Tamandua tetradactyla: one gene and its partner. The protein of the gene in region 1 purifies or fractionates together with the protein of each later gene. This does not show direct contact. Links are inferred from orthologs where the notes say so. Each region holds a gene or a part of one and is shown on either strand. Other genes may lie near its edges. The genes, in order: WDR62 and CEP170.

Region 1 (3,912 bases):
GACCAACCTCACTTTTCCCTACAGAGCCGCCCTACCCCCACCCCTCCGCTTTCAGCAGTCTCCTTGTAGTACCTTTAGTTTATCGCCTACCCCCTGCTGTTTCACGCATCTGTACATTTGCAAGTTCGATGTTTACTTGCAGCCCGCAATACGGACTCTTCACCTTGCTAACTCCTACTTGTGACCCGCCTCAAGCTGGACCAGGTGCTCCGCCCCTCCCAGGGCCCCGCTTCCTATCAAGCCCCGCCCCACTCCTGCAGTCACTTGCGAAGCTCACTGGGCGGTTGCTGGAGCAGTTCGGAGCCCGGCAAGACCTGGGCAAGGCGGTCCAAGCCCTACTGAGTTTAGCCAGGTTAGCGGTCGCACTTTGCTCCTCGCGGGGGCCGCCGAACCCGGCCCGGCTCGCTCCCTCTCCGCCTGTCTCACGTGACGGCCGCTGGTCCCTCCTCACGTGTTGCAGCCGGAAGATGCCGCCTAAGACGCGCCATGCTGCCTTACCCGAGCTCCGCCTTCATCAAGTGGTGAATGGGGAAAGTACAAACATGCAAAGCCCGCCATTTGCTGCCCAGCTCTTTATTGCAGTGGCATCACAGCATTTCTGAGCCTGCGCCAACCAATTCGACTGGCTCGTCACTCTCTTTCGGCTCCACCCTGCGATTACACATCCGGGTGACAGTCACGGTGTGGGTAGTCGCCGTGGGTAGGCAGGCAGCAAAAAGCGAGGTGAGGCGGTTATGGCCTTACCCTTGCAAAAATTAAATCCTGTTTATTTCAGTGAATGATAAAAAGGCAGAATGGTCCAAAACCACCAATACGCTAAATCCGAGCATTAAGTAAACCCGAACCAAGGCCCCTTCCTTCCGAAGGCGGTGGCAGTAGCAATAGCCCCACCCTGTCCGAGGCTACGCTACTCCTTTAAGCCCTTATTGGTCGAAAGGGCCGCCCGGCAGCCCCGAGATTGGCTAAACCCGCGGCACGCCGTGTCCAATGGGCGCCGGCTCCGGCTTTCCCGCGGCGGTTCGCTATTCAAGTGAGTCGTGGCTGCGGCGGTTGGGCGTGTAACGGTCGCCCGGCCCCGGCGTGACGATGGCGGCCTTGGGACTCGCAGGCTACGCGCGGAACGACACGGGAGAGAAGCTGCCATCCGTCATGGTGGGGGTTCCGGCGCGGAGGAACCAGTCCTCCCCGCCCCCGGCTGCCCCGCTCTGCCTCCGGCGGCGGACTCGACTCACAGCGGCGCCCGACGATACGGTGCAGAACCGGGTGAGGATCTATCTGCCTTTCCCACCCCACTCCCAGCTCCCTGGGCCCCCGGGTCCAATGTTCAGCTCTTTGGCCACACCTATCAGCCTCCGACGGGTCCCCTCAGGTTTCTCCCAGCCCCGCCTCATCTACTAAGACCCGCCCCTTCAGAAAGGCTACTCCCATTTTTCGGTATCTTTTTCTCACGGGCGCTGCCCATCATTCCTGGCCTCGCTTCTCAACCCTTGGCCCCACCCACAAGCCTCTGGGTTGTTCCCGGCGTTCCTTTCCAGTCCCATCTCTCCGAACACCTTGTCTCTGCAAGTCACCTTCTCATCACGCTTTATGGGATTGAGCTCCAGTTGAACTTTAAACTCTCTCCCGAACTCCACCACTTTGTTGACCCCGCCGCGCCAGGTCTTTAGGGGTTTCGGCCCAGAGTCCTACCCGTCTCAGTCTCAGGTCTCCCCAGCCGTCCGTCAACCCCTGCCTTCTTCCTTTTCCCTTACCAAGATGGAATTCCATATGGCCACTCAAAACTATAGAGAGGATGCTAGTAATATTCTAAAAATCTCATCAGTGCCAGCTGCTGGGGATGGGGGTGGGGAGGGGGGAGTACAGAATACTTTCCTAAATCTTGAGTACAGAAAAAAAGAGGCGATTTTAGAATAGGTTGAATTTCCCCCAGCAAAGCAACATGTGTAATCTGTTTTCATAAACAATAACCTGACCATTATGTTTTAGGGAGATATGAAGAAATTGTGAATGTGACCTGCTGGGCATAGTGCATGGCATCAGATAAAGGGTGGATAAATGGTAACTGTTGGTGGACCTTGTTCCTGCTCAGTAGCTCCCTGCTATATTCCAAACATGTTGCCCATTCCTGCTTGCAAGCCCCTATGCAAGTGGGCCCCTGCCCACCTCTCTGGCTGTAGCTCCCCTGGCATCCCTCTTACCAAGGTTCAGTCACACTGACTTGTTCTCTGTTTCCTTGAGGCTCTCAGCTCTCTCCTGCCTTCCAGCCCTTGTGTTTGGGCCTTTTTGCTGCGGTCCAAAGCTAGCTCCTTATCTTTCAGGTCTCAGCCTGAATATTCTTACCTCCAAGAGGCCTTCTTGAATCCCAATCTAAAGCAGATACCCACCTTAGTCTCTCACCCAGCGCCCTGTTCTTCATGGCCCTTTCCTTGTATGTTCCTGAAAGTGCCTTGTGAGCTCTTAAACTATGTATAAATGTAGAGGAATAACAATAGCACTTTCAGAGTGGCCATATAGCAAAGTGGCAAAGAACACAGGTTCTGGACCTAGACTGTCTGGGCTTATGCTTTAATTCTATTCTTCCTAGCAAGTTAGGAACTTTTCTGTGCCTCTGTTTCCTCATCTGTAATGAAGATAAAAGTATTAATATGCCTTGTAGGGCATTTGTGAGGATTAAATGAGCTAACATACCTGAAGCACTTAGAACAACTCCAGGCACGTTGCAAGTACTCTGTTAGTACAGTTAGCGACTACTGTTATTGTTATTGTGTATTTTGGGCAGCACATCATTTATTTTTCTTTTGGCAGCACAGTGTAGATAAGCAAAAGATTGTCTAAAAATGATCAATTATACTACTGCCCAATAATGCTTAATGGTAAGTGAAATGACATGAGTGACAGTGCTGGACTGCCTGGTTAGAATCTTGGTTCTGCTCTTTCTTGAATGGGTAACCTGGGGCTAAAGTTACTTACCACTTCCGAGTATCCCTCTCCTTATCTGTAAGATGAGGATGGTGGTGACAATGGTAACTATGTTACAGACTTATTTAAACGTTGGATAAATTAATAGAGTTACAGGTATTTGAATAGTGTCTGACTTCTGATAAATGCTCAGTATTAACATTACTTGTTACCTTATGGTAACTTTTTAGTTCTGATACCATGGACTTGCCTAAGAGTGTTTTACTCTGTATAATTAGGAACTGATCTAAATATGAAAGTAGCACAATTCCAGTTAATCCCTACGCTGTAGGGATTGTAGTTAAATAGGGACTTGCCCGTTTCACCTACTTGCTTAGAGGGTTTTTAAATTTGAAATTCTAGACTGTGAGTTTGATGAGAAAATGGACAGGGTCCACTTTTGCTCAATGTTGTATCTCCATTACTAGGCCCAAAGTGCTGTCTTTGGAGCCAACCTACTTGGGTTTATATCCCAACCTTGCCGTTCCCCAGGTGTAGGACCTTGGGCCTCTAGTGTCCTTATCTGTAAAATTGTGGTGACAATAGTGCCTTCTTCCTTAGATTGTTATGAGCATTCAGGTCTTTAATCTATATAAAAGTATTTAGAAGTTTATTCCAGGGTCACCTTCTCAGTGAGGCTGTTTCCCCTTTCCCCTGTACTCTCAATCCCAATCCCTGCTTTATTTTCTCTATATTTGTTTTGTTCGTTTTCTTTGTTTTCCCTCCCCACCATCACCAGAATGTGAGCTCCAGGAAAGCAGGGCTTTTGTCTGTCTTCTTCACCACCTTGTACCCTTCATCTAGCAGTGTATTTCTCAAAGTAATGTTGAGAACAAACATTAGCTGCTGATAGCTTGACTGCAGAAGCTCAGTGAGTGTGTGTCAAATGCAGCAGAGACTGAACGGGACTGAGGCAGCTGTGATACTGCTGGGGCAGGTGCTTCTGACTTGGAC
Region 2 (3,912 bases), on another chromosome or scaffold:
GAGTTTATGTAAGTTGTACAAGATGACAGAACCATCTGACACAAATACAACCATCACTTCCATAGATACTCACTAACAAGATATTGACCTAACAAGTGAATAAAGTTTCAGTTATAGTAACTGTGATAGGATTAATACACTTATTAATGTAGGTTTTGAAAGCAGATTCACACGTATTCAATATCTGGTTCTGCTACTAATCACCCGTGTGGCCTTTTGCATATAAAACCTGAATCTCGATTTCCCAAGTGTAAAATAGGGGTAATCAGTAGGTTGTTGCAAGTTTTAAATGCACTCGTGTTCTTCAAAAACCTAGACAACTAAATAGAAGGTTCTGTGATTAAAACAATTATGTGTTTCCCCACTCCATCCCGGCAAATAAATCACTTTCAGTCCACTATATCGGAATTTGAATGTGTAAAAAATGTGAATCAGGAAAGCACAGGATTAAAAAGCAAAGTATGAGAATTGGGCAAGAGTGGCATAAAACTTTCCAACAGTTTCTGTGGGCATTGGTTAAGAAAAATGGTCAACTCAAGATCAGGCAGTTTGTTGAGGTTACTAACGGGAATCAAGGAAACAACGCTGCTTAAATGTAAAAACAAAACAAAACTCTTTCATCCTTCCTCAAGGATCACGGCAACATCCATCTTCTTCTTCTGCAGCCTGGCTGGGGCCGAACAGAGGTGTTAGGAAAAACGCACCTGGTCATCCACGAGGCCCTGGGTACCAAGGGGCTAGGAGCAGAGATTCGGAGCAACTCACCCCGGAGACTCCGTTGATAGTGCCCCAAAATCTCCTCCAGGGCAGAGTTCCCCGGGGACACGGCCATGCACGGACCGAAGGCCCAGAGATGGGAACTACGTGGGGAAGTGTCCAGAGAACAACAGGCCTAGCGCCTAGAGAGCACCCGCCCTCTTCCTGCCGCGGCTGTCACTGTGGAGCGTGGAACCCAGTATGGAGCTCCTGGAGGCTCTTCCCACCCAATGGCCCTTACGGTGGACTTCGGGAGTTGCAGTCCCCAGGCTCTCGACCTGAAACTTCGAGGCACCTGAGAGCTCCTCCACAGACACTACAATTCCCAGAGGGCACCGCGCTCGGAGCTCAAACTTCGGCAGTTTGGCTGCAATAGTCCGTTGCCAAGAGACACCTCAGAGGCTCCGCCCGTTTCCTCCTGCCCAGCCTGGTTTAGTCCCGCTTTCATCTCATCCTTCCGCTGCTTGGACCACTTAACTGACGGAAAGAGCCCCCTGAAGGCCTCGACTGTTCGAAATGTTATACTATGCAGTTGACCCCTGAGGCTTCTCAGTACGCAAGTGAAAAGCTCGGGATTCTGTTTTGACCGCAACGTTGTAATAACGACCACATAAATTCTTAAGGAAAAGAAACTCTAGACCTACCGACCAGCCTATGTTGTGAAGGCGGCCGATACTACAAATCCTAGCATGCCCAGCGACCCGGCCTCCTCTTGGAGTTGGCGCACTGCCCGCAGGGAGCTGTAGTCCTTGTTGGTTGCGGTCCAAGCTACTGATAGGGTCCTCTTTATTGTTCAAGCCGCTCTTTATACCACGCCTGCGCAGTGGGCAGCAGCAAAAGCGTGTGGGTGAGACCCTCAGTTCAACGCCTTTTCATTGTCTCATTTTCGCGCTTGCGCAGAACTAAACTGTTGGGCCAGAGCAGGCGGAGGGAACAGGGCCCGGCCCTGCGCCCTTTCCCGTGGCGCCTGCGCACTAGGCTGCCGCTCTTTGCCGTTACCGCTATGTGTGAGGCGTGTGTAGAATAACGTTATTGCCCAGAGGAGCTGAGGGGCCCGGAGTTAAACTGCAGCGGCAGCATCGACGACGACAGCGACGACGACGACGACGACGACGAGGGGGTGGGGGGAGGACGGCGTGCTTAGAGACTCACGGGACGCGACGCGCCCCGCCTCCCCCGTCCGGTCCCTCTCCCAGCGGTGAGGGGTAAGTGATGCTGTCGGCTGCTTGGGTTAGGCGTTGCTGGTACAGCTACTGCCGCTGCTTTTACACATCCTTTTCCTGGAGAGCCTTGGGTTTGCGGCGGGGACTCGGGTTGCGAGGCCGGGAAGCGAGGGGGTCGCTTCCCGGAATCTCCGCGCGGCGCCGCGGCCGCCGCCGCCGCCACCCCCACCCTGGGGCTCGGCGGGGCCGCCCGTCCCATCCCCCACCCGAGCTCGCGTGGTTCCCCATCTCCTGTCCCTCCAGTCCAGTAGCCAACCTGGCCTTGCCCAGCCTCTTTTCCTCTGACTCTTTCCCTAGATGTATAGAATCGTTTTCAGCTCCCTCTCGGGCTTTGTGCAACCTTCCCCCCACACACCCCCCCGCCGCCTTAGCAGTGTGCGAGGGGCGCGAGCGGAGGAGGATCGGAGGGAATGGCCACGCTGCCTCCGGAGAAGGGGTTTTTCCCAGCCCGCGCCCCTCATCTGAGCGGCTAACAGTGCCGATCCTTTTTATTGGTTTTGGGGAGTGAGGCGACTGGGGGAGGTGGTGCGAGGTTGGACGCGGTTGACGGGCATGGAAGACGTGGTGTCACGCACCCTGGCAGGCGACTGCACTCCGCGTAGGTTCTGGCCCCGTGGTAAACCCTGGGGCGGAGAGAGGGGCTTCCTGTCGCCTTCATTGTCCTAACATTCGAATGTAGGCCTCTGGTATGGTTTTCTTCATTTTATGCAAAGGAAAAAAAAAAGATTACCAGTTGCCTAAAACAGGGCGGGAAGATTTGGGATTTGTATTCTCAGTCACGTAATCTGTTTCTGGTGTACAGTAGAGTGTTATTTATTTATTTGAAGACTGTAAGCTTCTGGAAGACAGGGTCTGTGCTTAGTGGAACCAAGCCCTGTAAAGGTGGTCAGTGTGTAAGATTGCTAGACAACGATGAAGACTGGGCTAGGAAGGCCCTGACAATGAAGCTTTTGTGTGGCAGGGAAATGAACCAGCAGAATTGTTTTTTCATTGGGTGGGTAATGCGTTCGTATTCTTAAGGGAAGGCATTAGAATAGATCTTTACGTCGTTTTGTTTTCTAAAAGCAATCAAATCAAAACAAAAAATAACCCTTGTATATTTTAATTTCTGAAGTGGTTACTCATAGTTTAATTCTTGTAATGAAAACTCAACTAAATTGGGAGGAATTTGATAAAGCAGATGATTGAAAATTTTTAAATGATCTGATTCTTACACTTACAGTGTTTACTGTAAGCACTCGCTGGCATTTGTAGTTACAGCAAGCAGAAGAGAGAATGAAGTAGGATGAGGAAAGAAGCAAGTGGAAGAAAAATGACATTGTAGGAGTTATATTCTGAATACAATTTCTAGATCTCTCCACTGATATAATCCAAGCTGGGTCTGCTTCAAAGATTTAGGAATACACCTCTGGAAATATTACACAATGAATAGCAAATTATACAACCATTTTGTAATTTTCTGCCATCATATTAAAAAAAAATGAAACCATGCTTTTGGTTCTTTCTAACTTCATAGATATTGTAGAAATTTTTGTGTTTTAAAACTGGAGAGTCTAAGTACTTTTGTCAGAGGAAGAAACTGAAACTTGAAAATTTACCTGACTTTTCCAACCAAGCCAAACTGCTAAATGAAGGCAGAGCCAAATATTACAAGGCTCTGATTTGCCTCCTCCTGAGGTCTGTACCCCTAGTCCTCCTACCCTGTGAAAAAGTATGGAAAGCTTTTCTCTGTGTGCTGTTTGAGTTGTGAGGATAAAGTTCATTAATAGTTCAGTTGTATTAATCTTGTCCTTTTCCTCGTGATGTTAAGGTGGTAATCCTACTAAAATAGAAATTTTATAAAGTAAATTACTGGTATAGGGAAAACTGCCCTAATGTGGGCTTTTCATAAAGATAGGAATCGTTGGAATTCTTTTCTCTCCTACTTAATAGT

What was found.
Region 2: the proteins of WDR62 (region 1) and CEP170 purify together in Homo sapiens (affinity purification with mass spectrometry; 3 studies listed by BioGRID and IntAct, with this or other methods). This does not show direct contact. The link is inferred for Tamandua tetradactyla from reciprocal best matches to the Homo sapiens genes WDR62 and CEP170.

The regions. Positions count from the first base shown.
Region 1 is NC_135342.1:29,895,177-29,899,088, reverse strand, and holds the start of WDR62 (WD repeat-containing protein 62), read left to right. Parts: upstream 1-1,015; 5' UTR 1,016-1,086; coding exon 1,087-1,263; intron 1,264-3,912. UniProt on the Homo sapiens protein: Required for cerebral cortical development. Plays a role in neuronal proliferation and migration.
Region 2 is NC_135333.1:14,520,394-14,524,305, reverse strand, and holds the start of CEP170 (centrosomal protein of 170 kDa), read left to right. Parts: upstream 1-1,123; 5' UTR 1,124-1,961; exon of another isoform or gene 1,962-2,100; intron 2,101-3,912. Other genes in the region: SDCCAG8 (serologically defined colon cancer antigen 8), read right to left, coding at 766-832.